Linked DNA regions of Elephas maximus indicus. The protein of the gene in region 2 interacts with the protein of the main gene of each other region in a biochemical or structural test. Links are inferred from orthologs where the notes say so. Each region holds a gene or a part of one and is shown on either strand. Other genes may lie near its edges. The genes, in order: CACNA1D, SHANK1 and WWTR1.

Region 1 (7,920 bases), on a different chromosome or scaffold from region 2:
TGAGTCGATTCCGACTCATAGCGACCCTACAGGACAGAGTTGAACTGCGCCATAGGGTTTCCAAGGAGCAGTTGGTGGATTCAAACTGCTGACCTTTTGGTTAGCAGCCAAGCTCTTAAGCACTGTGCCACCAGGGCTCCAGTTGAACCAATAATTTCCAAATGATCAATGTGTTATGTTACCATTCAAAGTGCAAAATAGACTGATAGATTTTAATGTAACAAAGTATGAGTGCTCACTTGGGCAGCACATATACTAAAATTGAAAGGATACAGAGAAGATTATCATGGCCCCGGTGCGAGGATGACATGCAAATTCGTGAAGCATTCCATATTTTTAATACTTTCTTTTCCAAGGCACATGGAACATTCTCCAGAACAGACCACATATTAGGCCATAAATTAGGCCATTAACAGAATCCAAAACATTGAAATATTACAAAGCGTGAAATATTTCACTAAAATAGTTTCAAATTCTACATTTCGACTAACCTTTAAGAGTCAAGTTTTAGTGTTTTATCAATGAAGAACATCCACAATTATCTACCTCTTCTTTTCAACTTCGTATCGTGTGAGGCTAGATATTCTTCATATACTTCAACCCAAACATTCTATCACTATGGATTGAATGCAGAAGCAGATATGAGAATCCAGTTGTCTTTTATCCAGCCAGACATTAAAAAGGTTTGCAAAAATGTAAGAGTACCACTCTTCTCACTATTTTGTTTTGGGAAACAGAGTTACTTTTCATAAAAAATATTAACATGTAATGGGCTTATTATGATGTTTACATGAATTAGTAATTTAAAAATGTTCTGTTTTAATTTTGAATATGGCAAACATCAATAGATATAATCTACATAAACAAAAGCTCATTGAAGTCTTAGATAATTTTTAAGAGTGTAAATGTGTCCTGGGTCCCAAAAGTTTGAGAACCCTTGGTCTACAGGATAACACCCAGACTTGTAAGCAGGACATTATAGACTTTCTACGATCTGGCTCCGTCCTGCCTTTGCAGCCTCACTTCTAAGTACCCCTAGGTTGCAGCCTAACTACCTACTTACTGATTTATACACATATTCTGGACTTTTCTGCCTCTGACGTTGTAGATATGGCACCTCTACCTGGAACACATGTGCCCACCCGCTTTGTCCACCTGTACCGGTTGTTAGTGGGTCAGGGCTAGGTTCTTAGCACAAGGGCCTGTGGATGGACAGCCTTCTTCAGATCTAACTTCACAGTATGTTTATGGATATATTCTGCATATTAGCTTTCTTTACAATTACCTTCAGGATCTGTTTGTCTGTCTTCCTTAATTGGAATTCTTGGAGGGCAAAGGATCCAATTTTCCATCCATTTTGTATTCTTACCATCTTAGAGCTAAGTGTCCTGCCATCAATGTTATGGAATTTTTGTAAATATTAGCTAACAATTTCTAGTCACATCTATGGGCTTTTATGATTCTGTGCAGGTTATTTAGTATCTGCTGTGAACATAACACTTGGCAGTTTGGACAGGGGGCTAAGGAGGTGAGACTTGCACTGTGGTTGGAGAGAGTACTTACGGCCAAGAAGCAATCAAACAAGACACAAACGGTATGTACAGTAGTCAGAGGGCAAACTAGCTGCTACAGGACTTCAGGGACGGGGCTGCATACATATAGGTGGATGGAGTAATCAGAGAAGCCTTCTGGGAGGAGGTAGGGACTTGATCAGGGTCTTGTTAAATAGGGAGGATTTCGTTGGGGTCAGCAAGGCAGGGATTTCAGGTCAGAGAATAAACACGAGCTGAGGCAGAGAATCAGAAATGAGTATAGCGTGTTCACGGCTTAATGAGAATGCTGACCACAGTGAAGGCGAGTGGTGTGAAATGATAAGGCTGAAAACTAGCAAGAGGAGTTTAGACTGGACATGGAAGGAAAGGAGAGCTCATAATATTTTTTGGTTAGGGTAGTGACTTGGTGTTTTTTGAATATAAGATGGATTATCTGTGGGAGGTGGAATGGAGATGGGCCATCTAACTAATGATCCAGGGGTATAAGGTGGTAAGGCTGTGGCATGGGCTTCTCAGCAAGGCTTTTAGAAATACATGCAGGGTAACCACATCTGAAATTACATCTCGCTGCTTTCAAGTGGCAGTGTTTTATATATAATGGCATGGGGACTAAGACCACACAACAGTGTATTAATGACATACTTGGGTTTTACCAGGTTTGGCTGACTAGAGCTGAAACATTTTATTCTAGTATTTTCTTATGTTTATTGTCTCAGCCACTGAGTAGTTGTGTATGGTTTTGGCCAAGTTACTTAACCCTTCAGTGCCTTAGTTCTGTCATCTATAAAATGAAGGTATTACTAGTTCCTACTGTGCCACCAGGGTTTCTGTCTTATAGTTAAACGTCTACACAAAGGAAGTCTTTAAAAAGATTAGCTATTTATTTATTCAGTAATGTTTAAATTACCCAATGTACCAAACATTCCAGAGCCATGGAGCTGAATGAGGGCCCTCAAAAAACTTGCTGGAGACATTTCAAGGATGGCACTCATTCAGAAGCTGGGACAGAATAACTTTAAAAACTCTAGTTCCATAAACTTATTTAGATCTAAAAGGTAAAACCTTTTTTTTAAAGGGAGACCTTTGTCACAATTTTAATCATGTCACTTATCAGCTTAAAAACCTCCACTGACTTCCACTGCAGAAAGGATGGATAAGCCATCTTTGACTGGGTCTGAGTCTGTCTTTCCAGCCTCCTTCCTTCCTACAGTCCAGGCAGCCTGTGGCTCAACCACAGTGTACTCCTGCTTATTGTCAACCTCATCCAACATTTCACACCCATCTCCCTTCTGCTTTTCCCCAAAAGCTTGTTCCTGTTACTCCTATTTCTACCGCTCTTTAAGAAGCAAGTAAAATGTTTCTTCTGTGAGAACTTGTCAGATACCCCCAATTATAATTAATCCCTTTGATGCATGCATAGTACTTTCTTTGTACCATTTTATTTTATTCATACCTCCTATGTTCTGTATGGTATTAGACATATAGACACACTTTTCTTTTTCCACTAGATCTTATGTCCTTGAGGGACCCTCTGTATCACAGATTTGTCCTGACAACACCTGGTCCAGACACAGGTGCCTTATGAATGTCGGCTGAACTGAATTGAATTGTAAGCAAACAGGGTAGAATTTTGTAGAAAAGGTCTCAATAGGCAAGGCTTTAGACCTGGATTCCTGAAAGTGACAGGTATACTGGAGATTTTCTGTTTGCTTCAGGCCTGAGGAGTCCTTGGAATTCTTTGAAGGGAACCTTCTTCTATTCCTTCAGCTGTTGGCTCAGAAGCAGCCTTAGATGAGGTGGCGCATGCCAGCTTTATATTATTACTACACCACAGGGCTATTCCTCTGCTGCTTCTCTCCAAAACATGAAAATAAAAAAAAAGGAGAGGGTTCCTCTATCCTTCCCGTCTGGACACCCCTCTCAGGAAGGATGTCTGGTCCCCACTCCCAGATGCCCCCCAAAATTGTGCATGCCCCCGTTGTTCACGCAGTGTGCCTTCTTTAGCCAAAGAGTGCCTTCTTATAAACACTTTAATTTTCTTAATTCACCCTGAGCTTTTTTGCTTTAAAAACAGTTCTAAAACGCTGTAGGAACATGTAGATGGAAACAAAAGCAAATAAACTGAATCCTGTGAAGTAACAAAGCAGACACGCTTCTATGATAGCACAAAGCTAAATGAAATTATCGGTCATCCACTAGATACAGTATTTTTCCTTTTAGACAGGAGCTGCCGTTTGCAACCCCCACCCCCAAATACAAAAGGCAATGAAGGTATCATAAAGCTATTCTCCACAGCTCCCAGAGGGGAGTCAACAGTTTCAGCAGCACTACCTATTTCTATAGGCAACCCAAGCGCTTTGAAAAATCTTGGTTTTTACTTTCTACTACCTGCCTCCAAACACACGCGTAGAAAGAGCGAGCAAGCACCCCCCCTCCCCAACTGCCTTTGAGCCTTAGAGTCCGCGGCGCCAGATCTGGCGCAGGGCTGAGGAGGGGGAAGGGGGTGCGCTCTGGAAACCCGATTAAATCCAAAGGTGCGGCTACCTGGGGGCAATGAGTGCTCTCCGGAGAGCCGGGCTCCCCCACCCTCCTCGACTAGAAAGAGCCAAAGGTAAAAAGGGCGCCGGCCCGGCTCCGGAGCTGTAGGAGAGCCAGGTAGAGAGCCCCGCGAGGGGGGCGCGTCGACACCTGTGCTTCCAGGGGCGGGGCCTCCTCCAGGTGTGCCGAGGGGGAGGATGATACCGACAGCCTAGCGAGGCCAGCCCTGGGACCCCGAGGTCCCTTCCCCCGCCCCGGAAAAAATGCAGGGGGAGGAGCGGTTAACCCGCACCTCAGTGCCGCGGGATCCACAGGCCCCGCCCGCCTCCTTTGGGGGACTGCGGGGGGAGCTAACCCTGCGGCGCGGAGGGGGTTAACCCGGCGGCCCGCGGCCGGAGCGCGCTTAACCCTTTGGCTCCGTCAGGTCAGCGGCGCAGGCGGCGGTGGCAGAAGCCCGAGTCCCAGGCGGCGGCCACCCCGACCCCACGGGACGTGCGGGAAGAGCCCGCCCGGCCGCCCCCAGCTGGGGCGCGGCGCAGCCGTGGGAGGCTCGGGCGGGCGGGCGGGCGGGGGAGGGAGGGGACGGCGGGCGCGCAGCGTCGCCAGGGCGAAGCCGGCGTGCGGCGCGGCGCGGCGCGGCGCGGCGGGCGCGGAGCGAGCGAGCCGGCGAGCGGGCGGGCGGGCGAGCGCCTGCCTCCGTCCCCGGATGTGAGCGGGGCTGCCCGCGGTCCCGAGCCAGCGGCGGCGCGGGCGGCGGCGGCGGCGGGCACCGGGCACCGCGGCGACGGCGGGCGGGCGGGCGGGCGGGCATGGGGGGCGCTCCGTGCGGCCCCGGCGGCCGGGCCGGCATCTCTGCGGCGTCCCTCCGCTAGAGAGGGGACCAAGCCGGTTCTCCTTTGCAGCAAAAAATTGCATGTATATATTATTAAGATAATATATACATCGGATTTTATTTTTTTAAAAAGTTTATTTTGCTCCATTTTTTTTGAAAAAGAGGGATCGTGGGTGGCGAGCAGTTTTTTTAAATTGTCCTTATTTTCTGTTATTTGTCCCCGTCTCTCCCCACCCCCTGCTGAAGGAAGACTAAGGGCAGGGACCGCGGCTCCCACCTATTAGTAACCCCCTTCCCCGTTCTTCCCCCGCCCCGACGCCCAGCACAGTGCCCTACACACAGTAGGCGCTCAATAAATGTTCGTGGATGATGATGATGATGATGATGAAAAAAATGCAGCATCAACGGCAGCAAGCGGACCACGCGAATGGTGAGCAGCCAGAGCCTGGGCACCCGCTGCCACATCTAATCCTTGTCATGGCCCTCTTCTCACCCCCTCGCCCCCTCCCGCCCCACACTTCTCCGTCTCTGATGCCTGGGTGGGTTGAGGGGGTTGGAGAGGATGCTTCTTGCCCGGTGTCATCTACATAGAAGGGAGAGATGCGTGAAAAAACCACTCCGTTCTCCCCTTCAGGCCCTGAATGTCGGAGTTAATTCTGCATTTGTGGGGTGGGGGCGGCCGTGAGTCTCTGGTGTTCTGTGCAGCAGGAGGGGCGAGCCGAGGTGATTCGGGTTCAGTGTCCTCGGGCTCAACTTTCCACCAACGCAGCCGAGTAATGAAGGTGGTGGTGGGGTTAGCCTCTTCTCCCTTTCCTCTCCTCCTTCGCCCCCTGGCTGACTGGGAAGGTCTCTGGTGGCATCCGGAAAATTCTAGGATTGCCGGGTTTCACTCTTCGCGCCGGTGGGTGAAGCATACCCCTCCCCTTGCGGGGGGAGGCCAGGTCTCAAATGGGGGGGGGGAGGGGCGGATGGAGCGTGTATTCCCACTCCCGGTGCCGGCACTGTCGGTAACCTAGCAATGCCCGGGGAGTCGCTGCCGCTGTGGGGCTCCCCTCCCCAGTCAGGGCACCACGTGCAGTTTCCACACCTGCCGGGGCTCTGTCTAGGGAGGCTGGAGCAGCTCCTGGCCAGCCCTCCCCCCTCTTACTTGGAGGTCACCAACCCCTCTCCGTCTCCCACTGGGCTCGAAGCCTTCCTGAGCTAGCGCTCTCCAAGGGAGGGCTTGGCACGACTCATCCTGGGCTCCCACTGTCAGCTGCCCTCCCCACTCTGCCCCCTTCTCAGGCTGCTGGGCAGCAGACCCGTGCTTGCTTTGACTCTGCCTTGCTCTTCACTTAACAGTAATTGGTTTTTCAAACGCTCATGCCCCTACCTCTCACTTTGGTCTCTGCCCTCATAAAGAAATTTTGGACAAGAGTGGGTGCAGATGCCTAGGATACCTGCCTGGGCTTTGACCTGACTCAAAGCTAGTGGGGGCTTCCCACAGAAGGTTCCCTTGGGGCTCTGCCCTTTGTGCACCTGGGTGCCAGACTGCACTCAGGTGACTCCTGTTCAGGCCTTGAGGGCCCTTGTCATAACCCAGGCTGTCATCCTAGGTGTAGGAGCGCAGGGTGCCTGCCTCTCTCTGGATGCTGGCTTGGCTGATGCTGCTGCAATTTAAAATGCAAAAAAGCCCTAAAGATGTTTTCTGTTTTCGGAAGCCTGTGGAGGAAATGAATCCCAAGCATCATGAATTTTCATTTGCAGGAAGCGTCAGTGCATGATCTAGATATTTGTTACGGGGCTTTTGGTAATGCCTGGGTGCCTGTGGAGGATTTTTCGTTTTTTCTTTCATGCTGAAAGAACTGCAATTATGGCTGTGGAAAGATATTGGAGAGATGATTAAGATTATTGAATTATTGGCACTGCCCCCCCCTTTTTTGTAGTGGTGGTAGTTATTGTAGAGCAGAGCTGTTGTACGTATCTGTTAAGTCATTAGAGATACATGGGTTTTACAGATTGGAAAGAGTGTGGAATAAATGTGGGCATGACCTCAGTTTGTCTGAAAATGCCTAAACGACTCCTGGTGAAGACACGGGTGTGGAGGGGCACTAACGATGGTGAGTGTAATGGTGTACTGCTCCTGGGTGACCGACCGACACTCAGGCCAGAGCTGACGGACTTTTCCTGCAGCTCTGGCTGACCAAATCCCTGCTTCTGAAACACAGCACATGAAGTTCAAAGTGGGCCCATGGGTGTGATCCCCCCTGTTTCTGTTGGACACAAGCTTGGCTTTTTTTCTAGACACTAGATACTCATTGTTATTTTTCTTTTCCTTCTCCCCAGAGGCAAACTATGCAAGAGGCACCAGACTCCCTCTTTCTGGTGAAGGACCAACTTCTCAGCCGAATAGCTCCAAGCAGACTGTCCTGTCTTGGCAAGCTGCAATCGATGCTGCTAGACAGGCCAAGGCTGCCCAAACTATGAGCACCTCCGCGCCTCCACCTGTAGGATCTCTCTCCCAAAGAAAACGTCAGCAATACGCCAAGAGCAAAAAACAGGGTAACTCGTCCAACAGCCGACCTGCCCGTGCCCTTTTCTGTTTATCACTCAATAACCCCATCCGAAGAGCCTGCATTAGTATAGTGGAATGGAAGTATCCTTTTTTTTGGAAAGTCTTTCTCATTTTCTCTTTTACCATCTGTTCTTTAAAAGGATTTGCTTTCTGAAATGGCACTTACCAAAGCTGCAGCGGTCTGGAATGTGAACCACAGAAGAAGCTGTGTGGAAGGGGTTTCATTGTATATACCTTCAGATCTCCTAGGGTTGCAGAGGCCTGGCTCTGTGGGTATATTTAGCCCACCCTCTGGGTGGGTGGGTGGGGGTGTGTGTGTGTGTAGAGCAATGGGGGGAGGGAGTATGTGTGTGTGTGTGTAGAGTGATGGGGGAGGGAGTAGCAGCCTAAAACTTCAAAGTGGCAGATAATTAAAGTATGAAAAGTAGTCTGGTCATTTGATA
Region 2 (7,291 bases):
GAGGGTGGCAGGCCCAGCCTGGGCCAGCACCAGGGCCCCTCAGGACCAGGCAATGGTTTGGCCCTGTCCCCTTCCCCTCTCTCCCACCCCCAGCCATTCCTGAGGAAGGGGTTTCAGCTAAGGTTGTTATTACCCCCAGCCACCATCGCCCACACATCCCAAGAGAGAGATCTCTCCAACCAGTCTCAGGCTCCAGGGTGATTCCTGCCCTCAAATCTCCTATTCCCACCCTCCAAGCCCTTGTCCCAGGTGCGTGTATGTGGGTGAGTTATGCCTGTGGGGACACATATGTGTCCCAGGGTTCATTTACCACATTTTACTGAATGCCTCCTGCAGACCAGACCCGGGCCAGGCCGTGCTGGGTACTCCAGCTGCTCACGGACAAGTGGACTTGGACAGACAGTCCCACTTGGTGAGAGGCTGGGGCTGAGGGGTAGTAGAGGAGGTGGGGGTGGAGGAGGGAGCAAGCAGGGAAAGGTAGGGTCAGGACAGGTTCCTTCAGAAGGTGGAGGAGATGCTGGGCTCATGGAGAGCTCTGAGCATTTGGCAAGGTGCCTGTCTCCTGCCTGGACCACTGCAGTCGCCTCCTCCCTGCTCTCCCCCTCCTTCCTCCAGAGCCCCTCCAATCCACGATGCTTGCCGCAGCCAGAGCAATCTTTCCCACCAGTAAGTCAGATCACGTCACTCCCCACTCCCCTGCGCCCCCAGCTTCCCATCAGATGCAGGAGTGGAGCCAAACCCAGCCTGGCTAGCCTGGCTGAGCTGGGGAGGATGAACCCTTTGCACCATCTCCCCTCCCCTCACCCCCCAGCTCCAGCCACACTGGTCTCTGCTATTTACAGAATGCCAAGTTCACCCCCACTCCAGAGCCTTTGTGCCAGCCATTGCCTCCTCCTACACGCTCTTTGCCCAATTTCTTCTCATTGTTGAGGGCTTTCTGCCCACCTTAGGTCCCTGCATGGTGCAAATGGTTTGGGTTTCAATGTGACTACTACTGCCCTGGTGGTGCAACAGTTAAGTGCTCAGCTGCTAACCGAAAGGTTGACGGTTTGAACCCACCTAGCGGCTCCATGAGAGACACAGCTTAGGAAACCCTATGGGGCAGTTCTACTCTGTCAACGGGGTCACTAAGAGTCAGAATTGACTCCATGGCACCTAACAAAACAACACTAATTGAAGGTGACAGTTTGAATCCACCCAAAGGTGATTTGGAAGAAAGGCCTGGTGATCTGCTTCCATAAATCTTACAGCCAAGAAAACCCTAGGAGCTCAGCTCTACCCAGTACCCCAGGGGGCTGCCGTGAATTGGAACCGACTCAGCAGCAGTGGGTTGGGTTTCAGTTTTTCTGCCCACCTCATTTAAAGAAACTTCCCCTCCACAAGTTGTTTCTGTGTCTGGGGTGTCCTGGGGTCTCCGTGAGTCAGAATCAACTTGAGGGCACCCCGGTCTTGTTTTTTCAGAGGAGTCCCTAGGTGGTGCAAACAGCTAATGCACTTGGCTGCTAACCAGAAGGTCAGAGGTTCAAGTCCACCCAGAGACACGTTGGAAGAAAGACCTGGGAATCTATGTCCAAAAGACCGCAGCTATTGAAAACCCTACAGAGCACAGTTCTACTCTGACGCCCTGGGGTCTCCATGAGTCAGACTGGGCTCTGCAGCAGCTGGTTTAACTGTTCCAGAATAGCTCAGGGGCTGTAAGCTGGTTAAAATTGGGGGTCTGGGGAAGCATCCTGAGGCTGTGTTTCCTGGCAGGGTAAGAGCTTGACCAAAGGTCAGTCTCCCTAGCCTCCCTCCCACCCCCCTCTTGGCCCCTCTGAGCCCCACAGCTAAAGCCAAGGAACTGGGGAACCATCAGGGCTCCGAGGAGCCAGGCTGCCTGCATTAGACTGGACTTGACACACCCAAGGTCGCAGATGGGCTGTTCAGGTGACACCCCGAGTCTCCTGTAGTAGGTGGCGGTGGCAGTGGGGGAGGAGGTGGAGAGGCCAAGCCTGCTCCAGCCAGGCCTGGTGAGTCATCCAGGGCTTCCCCAGCCACGGCTGAGCTGGTTTTGCCAACAAGCATGGAGCACCCTAGCCAGGGATCACGGGGCCCACTTGTCAAAGGACGAAACCGAGGCTCAGGGAGGGGAGATTGTGGCCTTCTGGAGGTCACCAGCATGGCGGCAGCTAGCCAAGGTTTCTGGCTCTGAGCAAGAGCAGGGCATCTGCCCTCAGCTGCCGGGAGCCCCAGGAGGGGCCTTGGAAATGAACACATCCAGCCTTCGGTTTTCCAAGAAAGCTTGCTACACAGCAAAGGGCAGTGTGACCTTGGTAGGCTGCTCACTAGAGCCCCAGCCTCTCAGGGCCCAGAACCCCTGCATAGGCCGGGAAAGGCCTTGTAAACTGTAGAGAGCTGTGCAACCTCTTTCACTGCTGGCACCAACACGGGCAGCTGTTCTCTCCCCAGGCCCAGCTGCTCACCACCTGGGCCGGGTGTGCATCAAAAGCAGGTCTTTCTGCTCTAGCTCATGGTGGTGGTGGTTGGGGGGGGGGGAACTCTGGAGTGCTTGTAGCTGTAGGTACACCCAGAGGGTGCCTGGAACTGTAGGTGCCTGTGCTCAAGCTGGTGGCCTTGGAGGTCCTGTTGGGGCTGGGGAGACAGGTGGCAGCCTGGGCCCCCAGGACGTGCACTCACTGCCCTCTGACACCTGCCCTGTGCCTGTGGGTGTGTTCTGGGCATGAATGAGCTATCTGCATACACTATGTGTGCTGTGTGCATGTGTGCACATGCGAGCTGGATATGTCTGTATATGCATGGGATGAATGAGAATGTGCAACTACGTGTGTGCCAGGCAGGATGGACTAGTGGTTGAGTGACAGCTTTAGAGCCAGCCTGCTTGGCACCACCTCTGCCTAGCTGTGTGACCTCAGGCAAGTTACTTGGTCTCTCTGAGTCTCAGTTTCCCCTTCTATAAAATGGGGATGATCAAATTTCCTCACCCATAGGGTTGTGTGAGGAGTAGATGAGTTAACCCAGAGCCTGGCACACAGGAAGGTCTCTGTAAATGTCAGCTATATTGTCACGAAGGGGAGCTAGGCCATGGCTGTGGTGGGCATCTGAATTCGTGTGTGCGTAAGTACCTGAGTGACAGGTGGGGAATGAGTGAGCTGGGAATGCATGCATCCATCCCTTACAGCTGGGTGCCTCCTGTTTCGGGCTGCAGATCTGGGCATGAATGTGGCGATTTGCGCTGTGAGGAATGGGGGATTACATGTGCGTGCGCACAGGCAGCAGGTTTGCCGTGGCCCATGAGCTGATATGCCTGTGTTCAAGCTGGGTGGGTTTGGGTAAGGTGCACCCAGGTGCATTGTGTTTGGGTGTGCATGCCCTGCAGGGCTTGTCTAAGTGGGATGTCTGCCTGGGGGCCCCCTGCTGTGCCTGTGTTCAAGTATGCCACCAGGTGTGTCCACATGTGCCCTGTGTTCCCGTAGAAGGGGTGTGTGTGTGTTTGGGGAGAAGGGGACAGGGATCTACAACCCTCATAATCCAATTTGGGGTGTAGATCTCAGCAACAAATATTTATTGCACCCGACCGTGCTTAGAGGGGGTGAGCGGCGCTCTGGGAAGGGGCTGCCCTGGGGTGTGCATGGGGTACCCCAGGGGGGTGGGGCCCGTTTTCGGGGTATGGAAGCCAGTGGGGGTGGAGTCAGGGTATGGGGACCCGGTGGCAGGGAGGAGTGGGGGGGAGGGCTTGGAGAGGGGGTGGAGCCAGCGGTGGGGGGGATGGGCGAGGTTTGGGGGCGCAGGGAGGGGCGATGTCTCCTCCGCCGGCTCCCGGAGGGAGGGGAGAGGGCGGAGGAAGGGGAGGGAGGGAGAGAGGGAGGGAGAGAAAGAGACAGGGTGAGGGAGAGACAGCGAGAGCGAGAGAGCGAGAAGGGAGGCAGAAGAGGCGCGGAGCGGGCGGCGGCGGCGGCGGCCCGAGGAAGAGGAGGAGGAAGACAGGCGGAGACGCGGCGCCCGGAGCGGGCCGGACCGAGCCGGGGGCCGGCGAGGAGGGGCGCGGCGGCCGCGGCGGAAGGGGGGGCGCTCTGCGGATGGCCAAGCCCGGTCCGCGGGGGGGGGTGAGGTTCTCGGCCCCCTCGCCCTCCCCCCCGGCCCCCGCCCGCCCCCTCCCCGGGCCCGCTCGCCCTCCGGGGCGGTGGGGCATGGCCTGAGGGTCCCCCGTCTCCGGGGGGGTGGGGGGTGGGGGGAGGGGGGAGGGGCCACGGGCGCCGCCGACCGGGACTCTGCAGCCCCGCCAGGCAGGTAAGGGGGCCGGGGATCCGGGGTTTGGGTGAACGGGGGGGCTAAGGCTGAGGGAGGAGGCAGGGGCGCCCCGAATGTCCTTGGCCGCGCGCCGGGCTCCGGGGCCTGGGTGTGGGGTGTAGGTGAGGAGGGGAGCGTTACCCGGGCGACGCCAAAGTGGGTTATGCCCCAGTCCCCCGTGTCCCGTCCCAGATGACAGCCGGGCTGGGAAGATGCACCCCTATATCCCGCCAGCAGCGCCCCCAGCCCGAACCCGCCTCCCGGTGCTCCAGGGCCATGGGCTCGATTGCCGTGCCCGCCTCCTGGCCCTGCCGGCCACTCCCCCGCCTCACCCACCCTGGACCACATGGGCTCCTAGCCCCCTCCTGCGGTCCCACAGCTCAAGGCCCTCTCCAGATCATCCCAATTCCCACCTCGGCGAGGGGTCTCGGCCTTTGTCTCTTCGCCCCCTTCGACCCTCTCACACTCCTGCTTCTCTTTCCAGGCGCCTCCTATCCCCTCTCCACCCCTCCCCATGCTCCCGCCACCCCCACCCCGTCTCTGTTCCTTGCTCCACCGGCCGGCGCGCCCCCTCGCCTCCCGCCCCCGAGTCCCGTTCCCGGTGCCCCCGCCCCCTCTCTCCGGCCAGAGCTCTCCCCCACCAGTGTCTCGGCCTGAGCCCCAGTGCCTTCTCCCCGCCTCTCCCCGCCTCCATTCATTCTCCCGGGCCGGCTCTCGGGCCCCGCCAGCAGCCCCCCGTCCCCTCGCAGCCTCCCAGGGCACCCCCTCTCTCCTCTTCTCCACCCCCCTTGCCGATTCCTCAGCCCGTCTCGGTACCAGCTGCGTGCCAGCTATTCTTAGCCGAGGAGCGTTTGATTCATGCCGCCCCGGCGGAGTGTGCCCGCTCCCTCCCTCGGGGCCTGAGGGGGAGGGGCCGGCGCTGGTCCAGGGGCTTGGGGACAGCCGCGCGCGCGGGGGGCCAGGGCCGGCTCTCCTTTCATCCACTCAGTCACCTCCTTAGTGCTGAACTGAAGCTGAGGGTCAGCCAGGGTCAGTCAAGGGGGAGTGGCTGCGGGGCCCCAGGGCCGGAGGTGGGACGTTGGGTGAGCGCCGGGAGAAGGGTTAGAAGGAGACCGGGGTCCCCGGAAGGGCAGGGTGGAGCAGCGCTGTTGGGTACCTGGAGGGGGAGGGGGCTACGAAGCGCTGGCCCCTCGTGGGGGAGGGGTTGGCCGGCTGGTGCTTAGATGCTCGCTCGCCTTGGCTCTTGGAACTCTCCTGCCCCCCATACACATTTTGTCTTCCCTCCCCCACCCCTCAGCCCATCCCCACTCCCCCAAAGTCAGCAGTACCCTCCACTGCTTCCCATCTCCATGGCAACCGTGCAGGAGCTGGGCCTGGCGTGGGGGGGAGGGACCAGACCAGACATCCTGGTTTCCGGTGCTGGGGTGGGAGTGGGGGAGAACATGGGGGAAGAGGACCCCACTTGGGACCCATCCTTATAAGGCCACCTCAGGAAGAACAGCGGGGGGTTGCAGATGGCCTCCCAGCCCAGTCCCCAGACCCTCACCCCACTTCTTAGTCTCCCTACCAGCCCTCCAACCCCCCCACAGAGTGGAGCCACCAGTACCAGTCCATGCCAATCCACCCGCCAGCAGCGCTAGTCCTGGAACAGACCCATAGGTCACCCGCAGCCGCCCGACACCGATCCAGGCCACCACATCTCTGGTCTTCCCGGGGTCAGCCTCTCGCCCACCCGCACGCCCTTTCAGGATACTCCCAACTACCTCCCTAGGCCACCTCTGGTGATTCCCTCAGGAACAGCCCACTCACGATGCCCTGCCCTGTGACACCCCATCTCGGTGCCCACTTGCTTTCCTGGGACGGTCAATCCCTTAACAGCTCTGTGCACACACACGCTGGCAGCCACACGCCTGTGGAGTCACCAGCCCCACCTGCTCCAGCACCCGCTCCTCCCGCCCCAGGCTGCCAGCATCTCCGTCTCTCCCTTACTACCTCGCAGCCTCAGCCTCCCCCCAGCTCCCCAGGAGAAGAGGAAGGGAGGGCCCAGGGTGAGGGGCCAGGCCAGGGCCAGGAGGGCAGGATGCCGGCCGCTCAGTCCACCTGTCTGTCCTCTGCTAATTTTAGCTGCCTTTTCTGTGGCCTGACAAAGTGGGCCAGTAGCTCCCGCGGTGATTCTGCGGTTTCTGGGACACAGCGACGCTGGGTCAGCGGCAAAGTGGGGCGCAGGGGGGCGGGGGGCTGCGAGGAAGGCCAAGGGCAGGGAAGGAGACATGTGCTGGGAGCGTGGCCGGGCTGGGGGTGTGTGCGTGTGCGTGCGCGTGCGGAGGCGGCCGAGGGGCGGAGTGTCTGGGGGTGTGCCCAGCCTACTTCCTGCCGGCAGATATATGCAATGAGGTGCGCCCGTGGCCGCTGGTCCCGGGTCCTCTGAGGGGTCCCAGGCTCCTAGTCTGACGGCTTCCCTTGGCCCCCGCAGCCGCCTGTGATGCTGCCACCCCCCGTCGCCCCGTGGCCCCACGATGCCCCACAGCCCCGCGTCCAGCGAGGACGAGGAACGCCACAGTGCCAGCGAGTGTCCCGAGGGGGGCTCAGAGTCCGACAGCTCCCCAGACGGGCCCGGGAGAGGCCCCCGGGGGACCCGGGGCCGGGGCAGCGGGGCACCTGGTAGTCTGGCCTCAGTGCGAGGCCTCCAGGGCCGCTCCATGTCTGTCCCCGACGACGCTCACTTCAGCATGATGGTCTTCAGGATAGGCATCCCGGATCTGCACCAGACGGTGAGTGACCGCGGGGAGGACAGGGGGACATGGGTGGACCTCTGATCCTGGGTGCCCTCCCAGGAAGCCCCTTTGTCCCCCTCCTGCCTTCAGTACCATCATCGCCCTCCCCCAGCCCTTCATCTCCTCCCAACCCACCTCAGGCTCCTCCCTGGCCCCTGACACACCCTCTTCCTGGCCTATCCCCTCCCCCACCAGAAATGCCTGCGCTTCAACCCCGATGCCACCATCTG
Region 3 (7,766 bases), on a different chromosome or scaffold from region 2:
CACAATCATTGTTATGCTTGAGCCCATTGTTGAAGCCACTGTGTCAATCCATCTCATCGAGGGGCTTCCTCTTTTTCACTGACCCTCTACTTTACCAAGCATGATGTCCTTCTCCAGCGACTGGTCCCTCCTGATAACATGTCCAGAGTATGTGAGACGAAGTCTCATTATCCTTGCTTCTAATGAGCATTCCGGCTGTACTCCTTCCAAAACAGATTTGTTTGTTCTTCTGATAGTCCATGGTATATTCAATATTCTTCACCAGTACTGTAATTCAAAGGCCTCAATTCTTCTTCGATCTTCCTTATTCATGGTCCAGCTTTCACATGTGTTTTTGAGGTGATTTAAAACACCATGGCTTGGATTAGGGACACCTTAGTCCTTAAAGTGACATCTTTGCTTTTTAACACTTTAAAGAGGTTTTTTTGCAGCAGATTTGCTTAATGCAACGCATTTTTCAATTTCTTGACTGCTGCTTCCGTTGGTGTTGGTTGTGACCCAAGTAAAATAAAATTCTTGACAACTTCAATTTTTTCCCCGTTTGTGATGTTGCTTATTGGTCCAGTTGTAAGGATTTTTGTTTTCTTTATGTTGAGGCATAATCCATACTGAAGGCTTTGGTCTTTGATCTTCATCAGTAAATGCTTCAAGTCTTTTACACTTTGAGCAACCAAGGTTGTGTCATCTGTATCATGCAGGTTGTTCATGAGTCCTCCTCCAATCCTGATGCCACGTTCTTCTCCTTATGGCCCACCTTCTCAGATTATTTGCTCAGCATACAGATTGAATAGGTGTGGTGAAAGGATACAACCCTGACACAAGCCTTTCTTGACTTTAAACCACACAGTATCCCCTTGTTCTGTTCAAACGACTGCCTCTCTAAGTACAAGTTCCTCATGAGCACAATAAAGTGTTCTGGAATCCCCATTCTTTGCAATGTTACCCATAATTTGTGATGATCCACACAGTCGAATGCCTTTGTATAGTCAATAAAACACAGGTCAACACCCAGGATGGGAGAGTGAAAAAAGCTCTCTGCTTTGGGGTTACAAACCCTGGGATGAATCTCGGATTTTTTGTTCGTTTGTTTCTGCAAATTAATTGTATGTATTTGGATGAGATAGTTTTAATTTCATTGGGCCAGTTTTCTTATCTGTAAAACAAAGATGTATAGTATATTATCTATTCTACTAGTCTTCTTGAGACTTAAGTAGCAGCCATTATTTGTTGGGTGCTTTGGCATATGATGGAGCCCTGGTGGCTCCGTGGTTAAGAGCTCAGCTGTTAACCAAAAGGTCAGCAGTTTGAATCCACCAGCCAGCTGCTCCTTCGAAACCCTGTGTGGCAGTTCTACTCTGTCCTATAGGGTGGCCGTGAGTCAGAACCTACTTGAAGGCAACGGATTCTTTTTTTTTTTTTTTGGTTTTTAGTATATAATAGGGTTTTTACTAAAAACTTTATTCGCATTTTCTTATTTAATTTTTAGGATGCACATTTGCATAACAAACTATCCAAAAACTTAGTGGCTTAAAATAATACCCAGTTTATATGCTGACAGTTCTGCAGCCTGGACTGGGCTCAGCTCTGTGGTTCTTCTGCTGGTCTTCCTGGTGGTCACTGATGTGTTTGCCATCAGCTAGTGGGCTGGTTGGGGGCTGGGTTCAGCTCAGATGCCGCAATAACTGGGTTTCTCCCAGTTTCCGAGTATCTCAGGGCTTTTCCCACTTGGATTTCTTACCAGGCGGCTCAGCTCTCTCAAAAGTGCAAAAAAAAGGAAGCTTCCACACCTTCTTAGAGCTTATGGGCAGAACTAGTACAGCTTCACTGCCACATTTTCTTGGTTAAAGCAAGTCACAGGTCTAGTCCAGATTTAATGGAAGGGATTACATAAGGGTGTGGATACCAGGAGGGTTGTTCATTGAAGGCCAGAAATGTAATGGATTAAACCCAAAACCAAACCAAACCTGTTGCCGTTGAGTGGATTCCGGCTCACAGCAACCTCTTATAGGACAGAATAGAACTGCCCTATAGGGTTTCCAAAGAGCAGCTGGTGGATTTGAACTGCCAACGTTCTGGTTAGCAGCCATAGCTTTTAACCACTGTGCCATCAGGGCTCCATGTTGCACATTAACACAGTATTATTATTTCCAACTTGCAGATAAAGAAACTGTGACTTTGGGAGGCTAAGTTCCTTGCCCATGGTAGAGGGTAGAGCTAGGTACTTTGGAGCTTGTGCTCTAAATCATGGGCCAACATTGTCTTAACCTAGAATCCTGTGAAGTGGGCATTGCTATTGTCTCTAATTGACAAAAAAAAAAGGAGGAGGAAGAGGAAGGAGAAGAAAAACCCCAGGAACAGAGCTTGAGTATGTTGCGTGAGGTGACCCAGGTATTTTGCCGCAGAGGTCTACACTTACCCACCACACCATGCTGCCTCTAATGCACAGTACCTGACACATACAAGGCACTGTAGAGCTTAATCTGAAGCTGTTGTTGGAAGGGCTGGGATGACAACGGGTCTTTCGAATCATCCACTATCATATCCCAGGCTGTTTGGGAACTCGGAGTTTTCCCTTTGAGTTATCCTGTAATCAGGACAGTTTTAATTTCTGGTATCTACTGCATCCCCCATTGTCTATTTCTTGAAGCATGGCAAGGAATGAAGACTGCAGCCTTGCCCATCCAATCCCAACCCTAACTCTCACCCGCTGATTAGCCTTGTGGCTCCTCAGCACATGCTTCTCTGTGGCAGCCAGGTTTCTTTGCAAAGCAGGAGCTTCCTTCAGGGGTGAGGACCTTTCTGTAGCAAGGCGGGACTCAGTTTCCATCCTTGAATCATCAAGTCAGCCGTGTTGCTTCTGAATCAAGAGCCATTTGATCCCAGCACCTTCTCTATTTCCCCACTGTGGCAGCTATGGGGGATTCTGACCCTAGTTTGCAAAGCTGCTACTTCATGGCATAACCTGTGCTAGCTCCCACTTCCCTCAGTCACCTGTGGGTAGAGGACTTACTGTACGGAAAACATGGGGTTCTGGAGGTTCCTCAAAGAAGCCATGGCCTCCTTACCTTTCAAAGTGATCCATGTGGCTGTCTTTCTCTAAGGCAGTCCTGGTGTTTCCCAAACTGTGAGGGGTCTGCAATCAGATCAACACTTCTAGTACAGACAAGGGGAGAGGGGGCTCCCTTTGGTGGGCTCTGCTCTATTTTGGGCGGTGATAGGGATGTAACCGTTTAGCAAGTGGCTCCCAAATTCGTGCAGTGGTTAAGGGCTCAGGTGCTAACCAAAAGGTCAGCAGTTGGAATCCACCAGCAGTTCCTTGGAAACCCTATGGGGCAGTTCTCACTCTGTCCTATAGGGTTCCTATGAGTTGGAATGGACTGGAAGGCAACATCTCCCTCACCAAGGTAAAACAATGAGGAGGCCTCCTCTTTCCCTTAAACTTTTTCAGGGCAACTCCAGATGTTGACTTCATTTTGCCCTTACAATACAGTGTAAGAACAATACCTGCACAATTCTATTTTATTTAACAAACACTTATGGAGCCTGGCCGAGTGTTGTTTGTAGTGCTTTACATATATTGCCTTATATATTTTTAAAAGTTCTATCTGAATGAAATGGGGTGGGGTACAGGGATTCTGGAGCTCAGTTCACCTCCGATGCCACTTTCCCATTCTCCCCAGTGGAGAGGGGACAAGGGAGAGAGAAGTGAGCTGCTCTGGAGGACAAGGTCACCTCCTACTCTCCGCAGCTGTCTAGCCAGGCTTAACTTCCTCCCCCTAGTTTAGGGTCTCCACCCCTCGGCCAAATCCAGTCGGTAGGGGGTGGGTGGCTTTTTCCGGGTCACTGGCGCACCCTCTCCCTCCCAGCCACCTGCTCCGGTTCCATCCCGGCACCAGGCTCTCCGGAGGGCGTCAGGGACATTCCAATCCTCCCACCACCCGCGCGGAGGGCGCGGAAGAGGGGGGTGGTGCGCGATCTCTCTCCCCTTTCCGCACCCACCCTTTGACTCGGTTTCTTCTCAATCCCTAGTGACCTGAGACACCCTGGAGAGGAAACTAAGGGTTGATGAATGGTTCGAAGGTCGTTTGTTTACAGGCCACCCGCTGGCAAAGCCGCATTTCCAGCGACAGAGGCGCTTTCTGGGCACCGTCTGCGCTCAAGCAGACAATTGAAAGCCAAGCCGACGAGATGCCTCCTCGCCACACCAAATATGGTCACAAGTGCAAAGCAGGCTCCGTGGAAAGGCCAGCCTTGGTGGCTCCCCGCGCAGGGGCGCTCCCGAGCTCGCCCTAGGACACAGCCGCGAGTCCGAGCGGCGCTCGGGGTGCCGGGGGCTCGGCACCCAGCTCGAGGGGAGGGCGCGGCTCCGAGGACCCGCCCTTCGCTGGTCTGGGCCCCTCACCCGCATGCCCTCCACCGCCCCCAGCCTTGGTTTCGGTCCACAAGCCCTTGATAAAACAGGCTCGGGCCACTTTCCCTTTGATCCCGCCCCAAGTCCTTGGTAAACTCAAAGGAATGCAGATCCAGGGCTCCGCGGGAACGGTCCGCCCGGCGGGAGGAGTGGGTGGGGGGCACCCGTCTCCTCTTACCCTGCAAAGTACCCATCACGCCCAGGGTTTCTGGAGCTGGGTAGGAGAAGGAGGAGGAGGAAAGGGAGGGGCGAGCGGGGGCAGGCCCGCTTTGGATTCAGAGTCATGCATAATTCAACAGCTCAACTTTCGGGCCCGCCTCTTTCCTGGGGGTGGGAATTTGCTCCAAACTTTGTTTATGGGACAGTCCGGGAGCCGCGGCGGCCGCGCTGTCTGCTTCTCGTCTGCGCCCATCTCGCCGAGTGCGAGCGCCTGAGGCCGGCTCGGGGGATGTAAGAGCCCAAGCCCCTCGGCTCCCAGGCACTGAGTGGGTCGGGATTTGCCAGCCGGGCCCCGGCTCCAGCTTCGCGAGCTCGGTCCCCACCCGAGCGACCCAGCCCGACGGCGGGTTCAGGCTGGCCGGCGGCGGCCGCGCGCCCAGGCTTGGCTTCGCTGCGCGCCCAGGTAGTGCCGGCTGGAGCGCGCCGCTCGCCCGGCCCCACTCCAGGGCGCCTGGCTCCTCGGGCTTCCGGAGTCGAGACGTCGTGGAGTTGGCTTGGGTTAGACTTCTTTGGGGAGGGGGGTCTGTCTGTCCTAGAAAGCTGCGACCTCTCCTTTGCCACTAGAAGGTTCAGCAACATCCTGCGTGCAGTCACCACTCCCCTCCCCCTCCTTCCTTCTCCTTCTCCTCCCGAGAACTTCTTGGCTTCAAGAAAGTTGCATAATTCTCCAGGCAAGGAGGGACCCCTCCCCCATCCGCCTGGTCTCGCTGCAGCGTGTCTGCGATCCCGAGGCGGGCATCTATCAGTCTCCTCGTTTTCTTTTCTATTCTTCTCCCCCTCCCCGGCTTTCAATAAAAGGCTTATCTGACCTTCCTTCTTGCTTGCAGAAGATGAATCCGGTCTCGGGACCCCCTCCGCTCCCGCCGCCCGGGCAGCAAGTGATCCACGTCACGCAGGACCTCGACACAGACCTCGAAGCCCTCTTCAACTCGGTCCGGAACCCCAAGCCCAGCTCGTGGCGGAAGAAGATCCTGCCCGAGTCGTTCTTCAAGGAGCCTGACTCGGGCTCACACTCGCGCCAGTCGAGCACCGACTCGTCGGGCGGCCACCCCGGCCCCCGACTGGTCAGCGGTGCCCAGCACGTCCGCTCGCACTCGTCGCCCGCGTCCCTGCAGCTGGGCACGGGTGCGGGCGCGGCGGCCAGCCCCGCGCAGCAGCACGCGCACCTTCGCCAGCAGTCCTACGACGTGACGGATGAGCTGCCGCTGCCCCCAGGCTGGGAGATGACCTTCACGGCCACTGGCCAGAGGTACTTCCTCAAGTAAGTCAGCCTGGCCAGGGGAAGCAGAGGCACGATGACCCGGGGCCCGCGCTTGTGTGTGTGTGTGTGTGAGAGAGAGAGAGAGAAGGTGCACGTCCTTCCAGGGTTCTTTCCCAAAGATCTGGGTGAACGCTGGCAGCAAGGAGTGAACGGCTGGGTATTGGAATTGTAAGGGATCAGAAGCTGGGGAGTCTCTGGTGAGGTTCATCCAGAGTCCTGCAAGTCTCAAGAGATTCAGGACTTGGAAACTCCTAGAGATAGGAGAAAAGTGGGGGATTCCCATGATACTCACAGGTGACTGTTCCTGCATTGGGAGGACTGAAGCAGACTCCTGGGCTGAGGCCCTGTTGTAGTTATCTAGTGCTGCTACAACAGAAATATTACAAGTGCATGGCTTTCACAAACAGAAATTTATCTTCTCACAATTTAGGAGGCTACAAGTCTGAATTTCAGAGCACTGGCTCTAGGGGAGGGCTTTCTTTCTTGGCTCTGGAGGAAGGTCCTTGTCTCTTCAGCTTTTGCTTCCTGGTTCCTTGGAGATCTCCATGTGTCTTGGCATCTATCTTACCCTATCTTTCCTCTGCTTAAGTGTTTAATACCTTTTTATATCTCAAAAGAGATTGACTCAAGATACACCCTACACTAATCCTGCCTCATTAACATAACAAAGACAATCCATTCCCAAATGGGATTATAACCATAGGCACAGAGGATAGGATTTACCACACCTTTTTGGGGGGACATAATTCAATTCCTACATTCTGTCCTTTGCCCCCCCCCAAAAATTCATGTCCTTGCCACATGCAAAATACATTTACCCCATCACATCATCCCAAAAGCCTGATTCAACTTCAAGTCCGAAATCTCATCTCCTGAATCATCTAAATCAGATATGGGTGAGACTTTAGGTGTGTTCCATCCTCACACAAAATTCCTCTTCATCTGTGAACCTGTGAAATCTAGACTACAAGTTATCTACTTCCAAAGCACAATGGTGGAACAGGTACAAGGTAGACATTTCCATTACAAATGGCAGAAATTGGAGGGAAAGAAGGGATAACAGGCACCAACAAGTCCAAAACCCAGCAGAACAATTCACATTAGCTGTCAAGGCTTGAAAATAATCCTTTCTTCTCTGAGACCATCTGGGCAGTGGCCCTGCCATCTGGATTCCAGGTGAAGGCACCTTAGCTTGGGGCTTCAGCTCCACCTTCCAGACCCTTTGGGATGGCATCCCTGTTCTCTTGGCTTTGGGCAGCCCCATTCTCCTAGTCCATCTGACTGGTGACCCCAACCCCTTGGCCCTGGCAGGCCCTATTCTTCTGTCCCTTGGGCTTGGCAGCCTGGCCCCCTCAGTTTTGGGGGTCGCCCCATCCCCCTGGCACACCTTAATGGCAACCCGGCACTTTGGAACCAAGTTGGTGAACACCCTACTGTTTGAAACCTAGGAGGCCGTGGCCTCACCCTTTTAAACCGTGAAGGCCCTGCTTCCTGTGCTCCTTCCAACAGTTCTGCTAATCTCCAAGATGCTCCAGGGATGGTCCTTTTATTTTCTTGGAGGACAACAGATGTAGCTCCTTTGGACTGTTTCCTGCCTGCAGAATTCCAAGAGGCAGACGGTGTTCTTTCCTTTTAGTTCTTTTTCTGTCCCTTCAGTTGAAGCTTCTGCTTCAGTACTTGGTTAGATACATCAATCACAGGCTAAATCTCTAAAAAAAAAAGATTGTGTAGCCACGTCCTTGGCGAGCATTCTAGGCCATATGTCCTTAGTTTGTACAACCGAATTTTCCAAACCTTAAACTTCTATTTTCATTTTGCACAATTCATTTTTAAGTCCATCTCTTTCCCCTCTCTTTCCTCTCACATTTTACTGTA

Evidence for each region.
Region 1: the proteins of SHANK1 (region 2) and CACNA1D interact in a biophysical measurement, tested with the Homo sapiens proteins (2 studies listed by IntAct, with this or other methods). The link is inferred for Elephas maximus indicus from reciprocal best matches to the Homo sapiens genes SHANK1 and CACNA1D.
Region 3: the proteins of SHANK1 (region 2) and WWTR1 interact in a test that uses a peptide from one of them, tested with the Homo sapiens proteins (2 studies listed by IntAct, with this or other methods). The link is inferred for Elephas maximus indicus from reciprocal best matches to the Homo sapiens genes SHANK1 and WWTR1.

The regions. Positions count from the first base shown.
Region 1 is NC_064838.1:57,664,039-57,671,958, forward strand, and holds the start of CACNA1D (voltage-dependent L-type calcium channel subunit alpha-1D), read left to right. Parts: upstream 1-4,908; 5' UTR 4,909-5,289; coding exon 5,290-5,353; intron 5,354-6,920; coding exon 6,921-7,022; intron 7,023-7,248; coding exon 7,249-7,558; intron 7,559-7,920. UniProt on the Homo sapiens protein: Voltage-sensitive calcium channels (VSCC) mediate the entry of calcium ions into excitable cells and are also involved in a variety of calcium-dependent processes, including muscle contraction, hormone or neurotransmitter release, gene expression, cell motility, cell division and cell death.
Region 2 is NC_064829.1:97,701,463-97,708,753, forward strand, and holds the start of SHANK1 (SH3 and multiple ankyrin repeat domains protein 1), read left to right. Parts: upstream 1-4,235; 5' UTR 4,236-4,287; intron 4,288-6,672; exon of another isoform or gene 6,673-6,760; 5' UTR 6,761-6,803; coding exon 6,804-7,058; intron 7,059-7,256; coding exon 7,257-7,291. UniProt on the Homo sapiens protein: Seems to be an adapter protein in the postsynaptic density (PSD) of excitatory synapses that interconnects receptors of the postsynaptic membrane including NMDA-type and metabotropic glutamate receptors via complexes with GKAP/PSD-95 and Homer, respectively, and the actin-based cytoskeleton.
Region 3 is NC_064841.1:10,270,890-10,278,655, forward strand, and holds the start of WWTR1 (WW domain-containing transcription regulator protein 1), read left to right. Parts: upstream 1-4,751; 5' UTR 4,752-4,861; exon of another isoform or gene 4,862-5,033; intron 5,034-5,457; 5' UTR 5,458-5,460; coding exon 5,461-5,891; intron 5,892-7,766. UniProt on the Homo sapiens protein: Transcriptional coactivator which acts as a downstream regulatory target in the Hippo signaling pathway that plays a pivotal role in organ size control and tumor suppression by restricting proliferation and promoting apoptosis.